Linked DNA regions of Caenorhabditis elegans. The protein of the gene in region 1 interacts with the protein of each later gene in a pairwise test. Each region holds a gene or a part of one and is shown on either strand. Other genes may lie near its edges. The genes, in order: ztf-26 and T22C8.4.

Region 1 (5,245 bases):
AATCTATGAAAAACAAAAAGAAAAAGATGGAAAGTGCTGATGAAAAAGCGTGGTCCAAGGGAAAAGAAACGACAAGAGAGACGGGGGGATCGGATTACTTTGTTTTAAATTGATGGAAGATTAAAACAGATAGGATCAAAATTTTGGATAAGTGATACAATTATTCGATAGTTCATTGAGCGTATGGAATATGCATTCATGTATTTTTGAATCATTATACTTAGGATACTCAGCATATTTAGAAAATTAGTTTTTTTTTACATATGAACATGCTTTCAAATTAAATAAATTAAAATACATAAAAAATCTTATTAAATTTCCAAAAATCTATCATCTTCGGTAATTCTGTTTTTTTTTTCAAAAATTGATGAAAACTTGAAAACTACTGTAGAAAACGCCTGTATCCAATGAATTAATATTTTGAATTAATAAATAATAAAAAAAATAAATAATGAAACAATAATAATATAAAATTAGTAAAATGATGAATTTATTAGGAAAAATCAATGTCTTTTGGTCAGAATTCTGAGTAGGCACAATGAGCTCTGACAGGTGAAAATCCAAAAGAGCCCGTCGTCGCTAGGGAGCAGAATCTCCGCGGATCATTAAAGCCCGTCTCGAGTGGAAGATTTGTAGACGGACGATGAGAAGAATTGAAGTGTCTGAGATGCTCAATCTCCAGTTCTAAAATAGAGGAAGCTCTGGAGAGGATATAGATGGATGGATGGGGCCCGCCTGTGACGTGGCAACCGGATACACTTGTATGTGTCGTTGGTGTCCCTTGGGGATGTCTTTCTGTGCTCCTGGCTCTTCTTTTCTTCTTTTCTGCAAAAAGAGAGAGTCCGAAGAGAGTCCAGGGTCCTTAAAAGGGAGAAAGAAGAGGCAAATCTGTGCACATAGCAGGAGATCCAATGTCTTTTTAGAGACTGACACATGAATGTGAACACTTTTCTAAATGTGATGGGAAGGGAAGGGAAGAGAAAAATAAAATGAGGTACTTTAGTTGAAGAGCATATGAGATTTCAAGGATTACTGTAGTTTTGGATCTGAATTCTAGAAACTTTGAACATATATTTTGGAGTTGTGTTTTGAATAAAACAAACAACTAACAAATATCGCCTCCCATTTTTCGGGATGTCTCCAAAATTGGTATTTTAGGCAAAAAATTGAAATTTGCCCAGCCCAAAATGACTAGCCACGCCACCCACTTTTGAACCAATAAACGACATAGAACTTTCCACAATCCTTATGATTGGTTAAAGCGGATGATGCTATTCGCTGATTGGGCGTTCAGTTCTCATTTTGGAGCGAATTCAAATTGGAAACTAAAGAAAGGTGCTTTTCTTCTTCCACAAATTTTAACATATATCTTTTTTCGAATTTCTGTAGTTCAGACTATTTTTGGTATTATAAAGCAAAACCCCAATTCACACTACTTCAATTTTAAATTTATTACGAGTCTATATTATAACGTATGACGTCATAAGAATGCCAATCAATAATGGACATTTTTTCCTTTTTCAAAAAAAAAGAAGTCTGATTCTAAAAGTGACGTCACTGTTCCGATAAGCCTAGTAATATAAATTCAATTTCTAATTACATATAGCGAGTTTTTCTGTGTCTTTATGAATATTTCCTTATCCTGTAAATTGAAAACTACGAAAATGTTCCCGGCAGTACAATAGTTTGCAGAATACTCGCAATTTACTATCATCTAGAGGGTTTCCCTCTCAACCATGAGCTGAGCCATTAAGATCCAAAGTGTTGTAAACCTATTCTTCTCCCCCTATCACTTTTTCCAACATCCCCCACTCTCTCTCTCTCTCTCTCTCTTTCACAAAACTTCCCCCTTGCACCATCAATCATTTTCCTAGATCCTAGAATATCAAGAATAAGATGCCAGTGTTTCTGATTTGCATATGTAAGAAGTTTCACACGGCTTGGTACTGTAGCAGCCGAAAAAGTTTGAAGAATTTTTCGTATAAGAAAACACTTCCAGACAAAATTGTAAGTAATGCAATTATGGCAAAGGTGGAACTGTATTTATAAACATTGTAGATTCATATTCAAGCTGTTACCGGGTTCCAGAAAAATGTCGAATCATCGATTTTTTTAAATTATGACAATTATTAAAATTTTTCCGATCTTCAACATTTTTGGCGTTACATGAATTCAGTACTGACACAACGTTGTAAATTTACATATTTAGGCATGGGTATATTTACCCGTACAAGCACCAATTGGGTAGAATACCAATAAAAGGAAAGTTGTTGAAATTAATTAATATTATTATCGCCAAATTTTCAAAATTGTGTTTCTAATTTCATATTCCCTTCTTGATTCTTTTAACTGAATTTTCACATATATTCCAAATCACTCACATTTTCCAGTTTCATTAGCTCTTCGAACTTCCGCAAGACTCGCATCGATGTCTTTGATAAAATCACGAACTGGATAATCCTTATGATGATTTTTGATATGTACTCTTGCATTATCCCGTCGGGAATGAATTTTCAGACAATACGGACAGACACATGCTGAAAATTTACAAATGTTTTTTAAGCGCTTTACTGAACAAAATTGAAGCTGATTTTGAGCTGATTTTTGAAGAGTTTCAGAAACAACCTGCAAATAAGCTTTAACGAGAATCAAACTTTTCAAATTCCAAATTAAAATATTCGTTGGCTCCCCGAAGAATTTGCAGCACTTTTTTCAGTTAAGAAAACGATCAAACATTCTTACACATTTAACATGAAACAACTGCCGAGTTTTTTTTACCTCTAGCGAGATCTTCACTTGACAGTACCCAATTGATAATCTCTGATCTTGATCGACTTATGAAATCTTCTCTCGCTGAAATTATGACGACATTATATTCTTTTCAATTCTTGAAAATTTCGTATTGTGATATATTCTTCCCAAGAGGAATCCTCCAATGCACTATAGTTATTTCATCCTAAAAAAGCTTCAAAATCATCTTCCAAATGAAAAGTTCATATGCACTATTCTTTTTTGAAACAGCAAAGTCATGAGAAAATTTATTAGTCAGAGCCTAATTTCCGGTTACTTACGTGTTTAAATTGGACCAACAAGGAATTAGTTTCTGATTGTGAAAGAAAAATAATCAACTAACATCTTTTAAAAATCTTCTTTGAATCTTTTTGAATCTCTTCGCCAGGGGTATTTCTTAAATAAGGTCTTCCAAATCCTGAACTGATTCTAGCAATAAATTCCGGTGTCAATGGCCCAATGCCGTCATCATCAATGTGTGGAAAACCGTCAGAGGACATCTGAAAGTTTATAAAACATCCTAAACTTTGAACATTATTATTGTCGAGACGGAAAAATGTGTTCAAAATATTGTTTAAGTTTGAGAAACTTATAGTTAAGTTGAACCAACCAAATCCATAAATCGTAAAAATCGTAGAAAGTTTGTGCCCGCGTCTAAAGATTGGACTGTGCAATGTCCCCTCAGATTTTCTACATAGCGCTATCTAAATTTGATAAAATCGTGTGAAAATTGAGAATAAAGTTTTTTGAGTATGCTGATTATGAATATACAATTGTTTTCCGTGTCACAGTTTTTCGATCTTTGATGTATCAAAAATTAAGGGGATCTTGGACGTGCACACTGTACTTGAAATGTTGAAGGTATACGGTAGCATAGATCCTATCCTACTCTTTCAGAGAGTAAACGTCAAAGCCTTTGGTAAACAGAAAATCGAAAAAGTAACTGAATTATAAATCTTCTCTAATCAAAATTTCTTCAAATTTAGTTTTCCTAAACACCAAAAAACGGCTGTGCGGGGCAACCAGGGCAACCAAATAGGAAAAAATCAGGGGCGCAGAGAGAAGAGATGTGAATAAGGGAAAAAGAGGACTAAACCAAGTGGCAGCTATGACAGCCGAGTGTCTCTCTCTATTTCTCTCCATATCTTTTCCTACTTTTCACTAGAACGTCGCAAGACTCCGCCCATTTTGCCTGAACCCCTTGCACTTATTATCTAGGCATTGAGATATGTTTCTGATAAACGTTGTTGAATGGAAAATGAAAAGTACATAATGACTGAAATAATAAAGAAACTCTTGGCGAACTGATTTGAATTTCAATGTATTTCCCTGAAATGTTGAAGTGGCTTACTAGGGAACCGTCACAAGGTGCCTATTGGAGTTGCATATGAGACCTATGTCATTCGATAGCCCATGTCTTAAAACGGTTACTCGTAAATTTTTAGCTGCGAAACTCTAGAAACAAGCTCACGACGTGCTCTCAACGATCCTAAAATAGTACTATAGCAAGGCGAATTTTTCATTTTTCGTTCAAATAAAATAAAAAAAAGTTTCTTCAAAAACAATTAAATACCAATAAAATGTTGGTATATAATGTTTTTTCACAATTTTGAAGGTGAAACAATCATTTTTGCTGAAATTGGAACGAATTGTTGCTTGCACATGCTCTTACAGAGCACAACTTTGACAGCTCCAATCTTGTTGCACAAGGAAGATTTCAAAAAGCTATCAACTGCAAATCTATGAAGCACATTAAGAACAACATTTTGTTAGTTAAAAATTTGTTTTTATCTAAAAGAACTGGGGAACTAGAGCAGTTTTCGTTAAGTGCGCTTTCCCACTAAATTTTGATTGATTCCCACTCTGAAATTCTGAGAACACAAAATTTGCAACAAAATGGCTACGGGGATTTTCAAAAAAATTAGTTTGAAGCCAGATATTAATTTTCAAAGTTTGGAAAATGTACTAATTTTGCATATAAATGGTCAATTCCATTTAATCTCAAAATGTGCTCTAAAAGGTATGACTCAAAATTCCCTTTTTTGTCTTGAACTCGGCGGTTATTGAAGTTTTTAGAATACCATTTTCATGGCTAAAAAGCGAATGTGGTAAAAAAAATCACCGTCTAATTTTGGGTATAAAGTTAATTATCTAGCGTTTTCAACTCGATTTAGGTATTTTGAATTCTGTGGACGAAGAGATTTGGTGAAACGTTTTAAAACAAATTTTGAGTCTAATAAAGCAATAAAAAATTTGACTACAACACTCCTGTAATCCCAAATTATGCCCCAAAAGGTTAATGGTTTTTGTGTCGTTGTAAATTTGGGTAAGAGTTTGGTAAAAGTTGGGTCAAAGTTTGGTTACTTTTTGGCGCAACCGAATTCTACGTTCGATTGTTATATAGATTATTTAGGCGTAAATCCAAAAACTAAAATGATTTTTGTTTTCATTTCAT
Region 2 (3,624 bases), on another chromosome or scaffold:
TCGTCATTTTAGGGTTATTAATCAGTGTCCTTTTTGATAAGAGCTCACTCAATTGAGTACTTGTGCAACCTGAAAAGAGGTGAGTTGTGTGATTTGAATCGAACAACTGAACAAAAAGGGTGGAGCAGTTAAATGAGAGGAAGGAAAAATCAAGGAAAATTGATACAGTTCTGGAAAATTATTTCAAGAGTTCTTCTGAGAAAGAAAAAAACTATGAGCATAGATGTGACAAGTTGATAATTCTGAAGGGTCAATTCTCAAGGGGTACTGTATGGTTAATAAAAACATTTTTTCACTTCGCAATTGTATTTTCTTGAATGTAAATTGTCAGTTGGGCATAAATTACTCTGAGATTCGTGGCAACTGGGGACGGGAATTGCATACCGTTTTTTCCAGTTGATCCATTTTTCTACAATAATTTTTTTCATTTAGAAAATTATATTATTGAAACTAACTCAATTTTGCATTGAATCAGGTTTTCTCATAAAAAATATCCAGTTCAAGAAGAAGTGCGGAATTTTCATCTACAGTGGATGCAAATTCGACAGTAACCACCGTCCATTTTTTTTAGAAATCTTAATGTTACGGTATACTTTTTTTGAGCCCCAAATATCTCGTAACTCTTTGCTAAAGCAAAGAAGATTTCTGCTTTGTGAAATTGAATATTGATGCATTCAAGACAATTCGACCTCCTCAAAACCAATGAACCTGGACGATTAACGACGTGCACACGACGACCCCGAGAACCAAGTGACAAATGCTCGTTTTTTGTTTCGTTCGGCAGCAAAAAGTAAGAGAGATAGATGAAAAGATGCACTTTTAGAGTTTTAGAATCGCGGAGGTCTTGAGGGAAAAAAATGAGAATGGCACCTGAAATGACAGGCAAATTTCAGACTTAGATGCGGGGATCTTGTGAAAGTAGCGTTTCTCGCTAAATCTCGCCAACGAACGGTTTTTTCAAAGCAAACTAAAAACTGATACTTTGCATTGATTATCATGCCAGACGGTATTTAAGATTATTAAATGAATGACTATTAAACTGTGGGTGCTAGCAAATGTTCTGCACTAGCGATGTTGGGGCACTCCTCGGAATTTAAAAATAATTGCATCAAATCTCTGAAAATCCTTCCAACGGTGAAAAGTGAAACAGATGTTGCTAATCCGTTACCGTACTACCAAGAAAACCGAGAAGTTTCCGTCGTGCAGTATAACTATCCTTCATGGTCACTTACAGAATCGGTAAACAGCCACGGACAGGCGTAAGATTTTATGCACATCGTATTATACTTTGTAAGCTGTAATATTTTATTTTAACATAAAATTACTGTACATATTTTGCTTCCTCTATGACAGTTGCGTACCTTTCAGTATTGCACTGCTTCATCTGTTCTTTAAACTTATTAGCTTGTCATAATGTTGTCATAGACAGGCAACTTGCAATTTATATAATTATCGTTTATAATTATCAAATCTATCATTTTTACAAATTGTTCAAAACAGTTCCATTTCTATTGTTGTCTCTATTTCTCTCCCGTCTGCCAATACTATTTCACTGTCGTTGCAAGTGTTTTGTTAGTTAAAAAGGTCAGGTCATTTCCTCAATCTGTTCGCACCGTGCAGAGTATCGCACCGCAATAAACATATATCCAGAAGAAAGGAAAGATGACAGTCTTCTCTTTCTTGTTTCCCTCTACTTTTTGCTCACTTGTTGTGGTCATAGTCATCTGCTCAACATCACTCTTAACACATTGCACAACAGCTTTTTTTAAATTTTCTTTAAAATATGTCTTTATTTTGAGACATTTGCATCAAACTCCCGTTTTTCTTTCAGATATGAATACTAGCAATTCAACATCAACTTCATTTGGTAGTGATCAAATGGATATTGAAAATCACTCACCAAAGCTATCCGGTGTTGCTCCCAAAAGACGAAGAATTGATAAATCTTCAACTTCATCGGAAGCAAAGATACAAAGAATGGAAGACGCGATGAAGAAAAAATTGGAAAAGGAACAGAAAGAAAAAGCTCGATTGAAGAAACGAGAAGAGACTTTGAAGAAGAAATCTGAAACAGCTGCAGCAAAGAAGAACAAAATTGTTGGAGCTCGTAAGTTAACCAAAATAAATATGCTCAACATTCTGTAAATCACTTTATCATCCCACAATCAAAACCTTAACTGTTACCAAAATTGAACTCGAAAGGTTTTCAGCAAGCGAAGACCCGAAAATTCGAGCTCTCCAATGTGATATCTGCTTTGCATTATTTAAAAATGCTGATAAGAAAAAACGCCATGACCATTCTCATAAAGATGAGCCAGAGGTATACTGTCCAATGTGCAATGCTCCAATCAAGTATAAATACAACTTGAAGCAACATATGAACAAATGTCAACCGAGCCAGAAAGAAATGGAACAAGGCAGTGTGAGTTGAAACTTTTAAGCAAAATGTGTTATATTTTGAATTTCGAAAACTTTTTTCAGATGCTCGCCAAAGCTTACCCGGACTACTTACGTCAACTTCAAGAAGCTGCAGTTAATCCGTCTCTTCCAATGCCAACTTTGAATGGAATGCCATACAGAATGGATCGATATTCATTTGTCACTGGATTCGATATGAGTCTTGATGTTCATTTGGATGTGATGCTCCCGAAATATCCCACAGACGTTTTTGTATGTAATTTGCAGTTATACGTAACATTATGATAATAGTATTTTTTTAGTCAGAAGATGAGGACGCCTTAGACGATGTCAATTTGTTTGATGAGAAGTGATTAGATATTTGTATTCGTTATGGAATTTCATAATTGTCAATTCTTTGTTCATTTTGCCACAGCTGGTATTTCAATCTACATTTTTTCTCGTTAATAAACATCATACGGAATTATTTTTGAAAATTAATTCGAAGCATCAAACTTAAAAGTATAGCTTGGATCGGGCAAATAATTTTGGAACTTTAGCAAACTATATTCTCGTGTTACTAAACATTTTTTCCAGTGAGACTACCGCGTTCTTCTCTCTCACATACAAGACCCCCCACCCGTCCATTTCAAATTCGCTCTATTGAACTACATGTTTCAAACACCGCAAATTTGAGCTCACACAGCTGAGCTCTCATGCTTTTATCAGTTTTTTCTTCTCTCATCCAACTAAATTATCTGTTTAATTTCTCGATTTCTATTCGTTGGTTGTCATAGTGACGATCGATAATTATAATAAAGCACAAGGACTGATTATATACTCAAAAATTATGAAAAAATGCTTACATTTATACTTTGTCTTATGTACATTTTAAATTGATGATTCTTCATGAAAAGCTATGTACCAACAAACTTTGAAAATTTTGTTTCAGTCATGGCAACCACCGAACAACTGGCTAATACCACGCAAAAAGAGCCTGTTATTGATTTAGATCAAGATAGCAACATGGAAATTGCTCATAAAATACAAAACCAAACAAAAAGACTCCCAATTTCCGAACCGGCAAATAAAAATAAAAGTGAGATTTTAAAAATGTATGATTATTGCAATGCATGATTATTAATTTGTGACCTTCAATGTTTTCTTCATTTTTAAAGCTTTAGATGTCACAAGCAAGCAGAATAAAGAAACAAATAGAAAAACATT

The links.
Region 2: the proteins of ztf-26 (region 1) and T22C8.4 interact in a two-hybrid assay, tested with the Caenorhabditis elegans proteins (one large-scale study listed by BioGRID).

What each region holds. Positions count from the first base shown.
Region 1 is NC_003279.8:8,857,983-8,863,227, forward strand, and holds the start of ztf-26 (C2H2-type domain-containing protein), read right to left. Parts: upstream 3,297-5,245; 5' UTR 3,291-3,296; coding exon 3,134-3,290; intron 2,957-3,133; exon of another isoform or gene 2,854-2,956; coding exon 2,779-2,853; intron 2,538-2,778; coding exon 2,382-2,537; intron 1-2,381.
Region 2 is NC_003280.10:8,621,702-8,625,325, reverse strand, and holds T22C8.4 (C2H2-type domain-containing protein), read left to right. Parts: upstream 1-1,829; 5' UTR 1,830-1,833; coding exon 1,834-2,107; intron 2,108-2,210; coding exon 2,211-2,422; intron 2,423-2,481; coding exon 2,482-2,670; intron 2,671-2,720; coding exon 2,721-2,771; 3' UTR 2,772-2,879; downstream 2,880-3,624. Other genes in the region: T22C8.3 (C2H2-type domain-containing protein), read left to right, coding at 3,352-3,496, 3,582-3,624.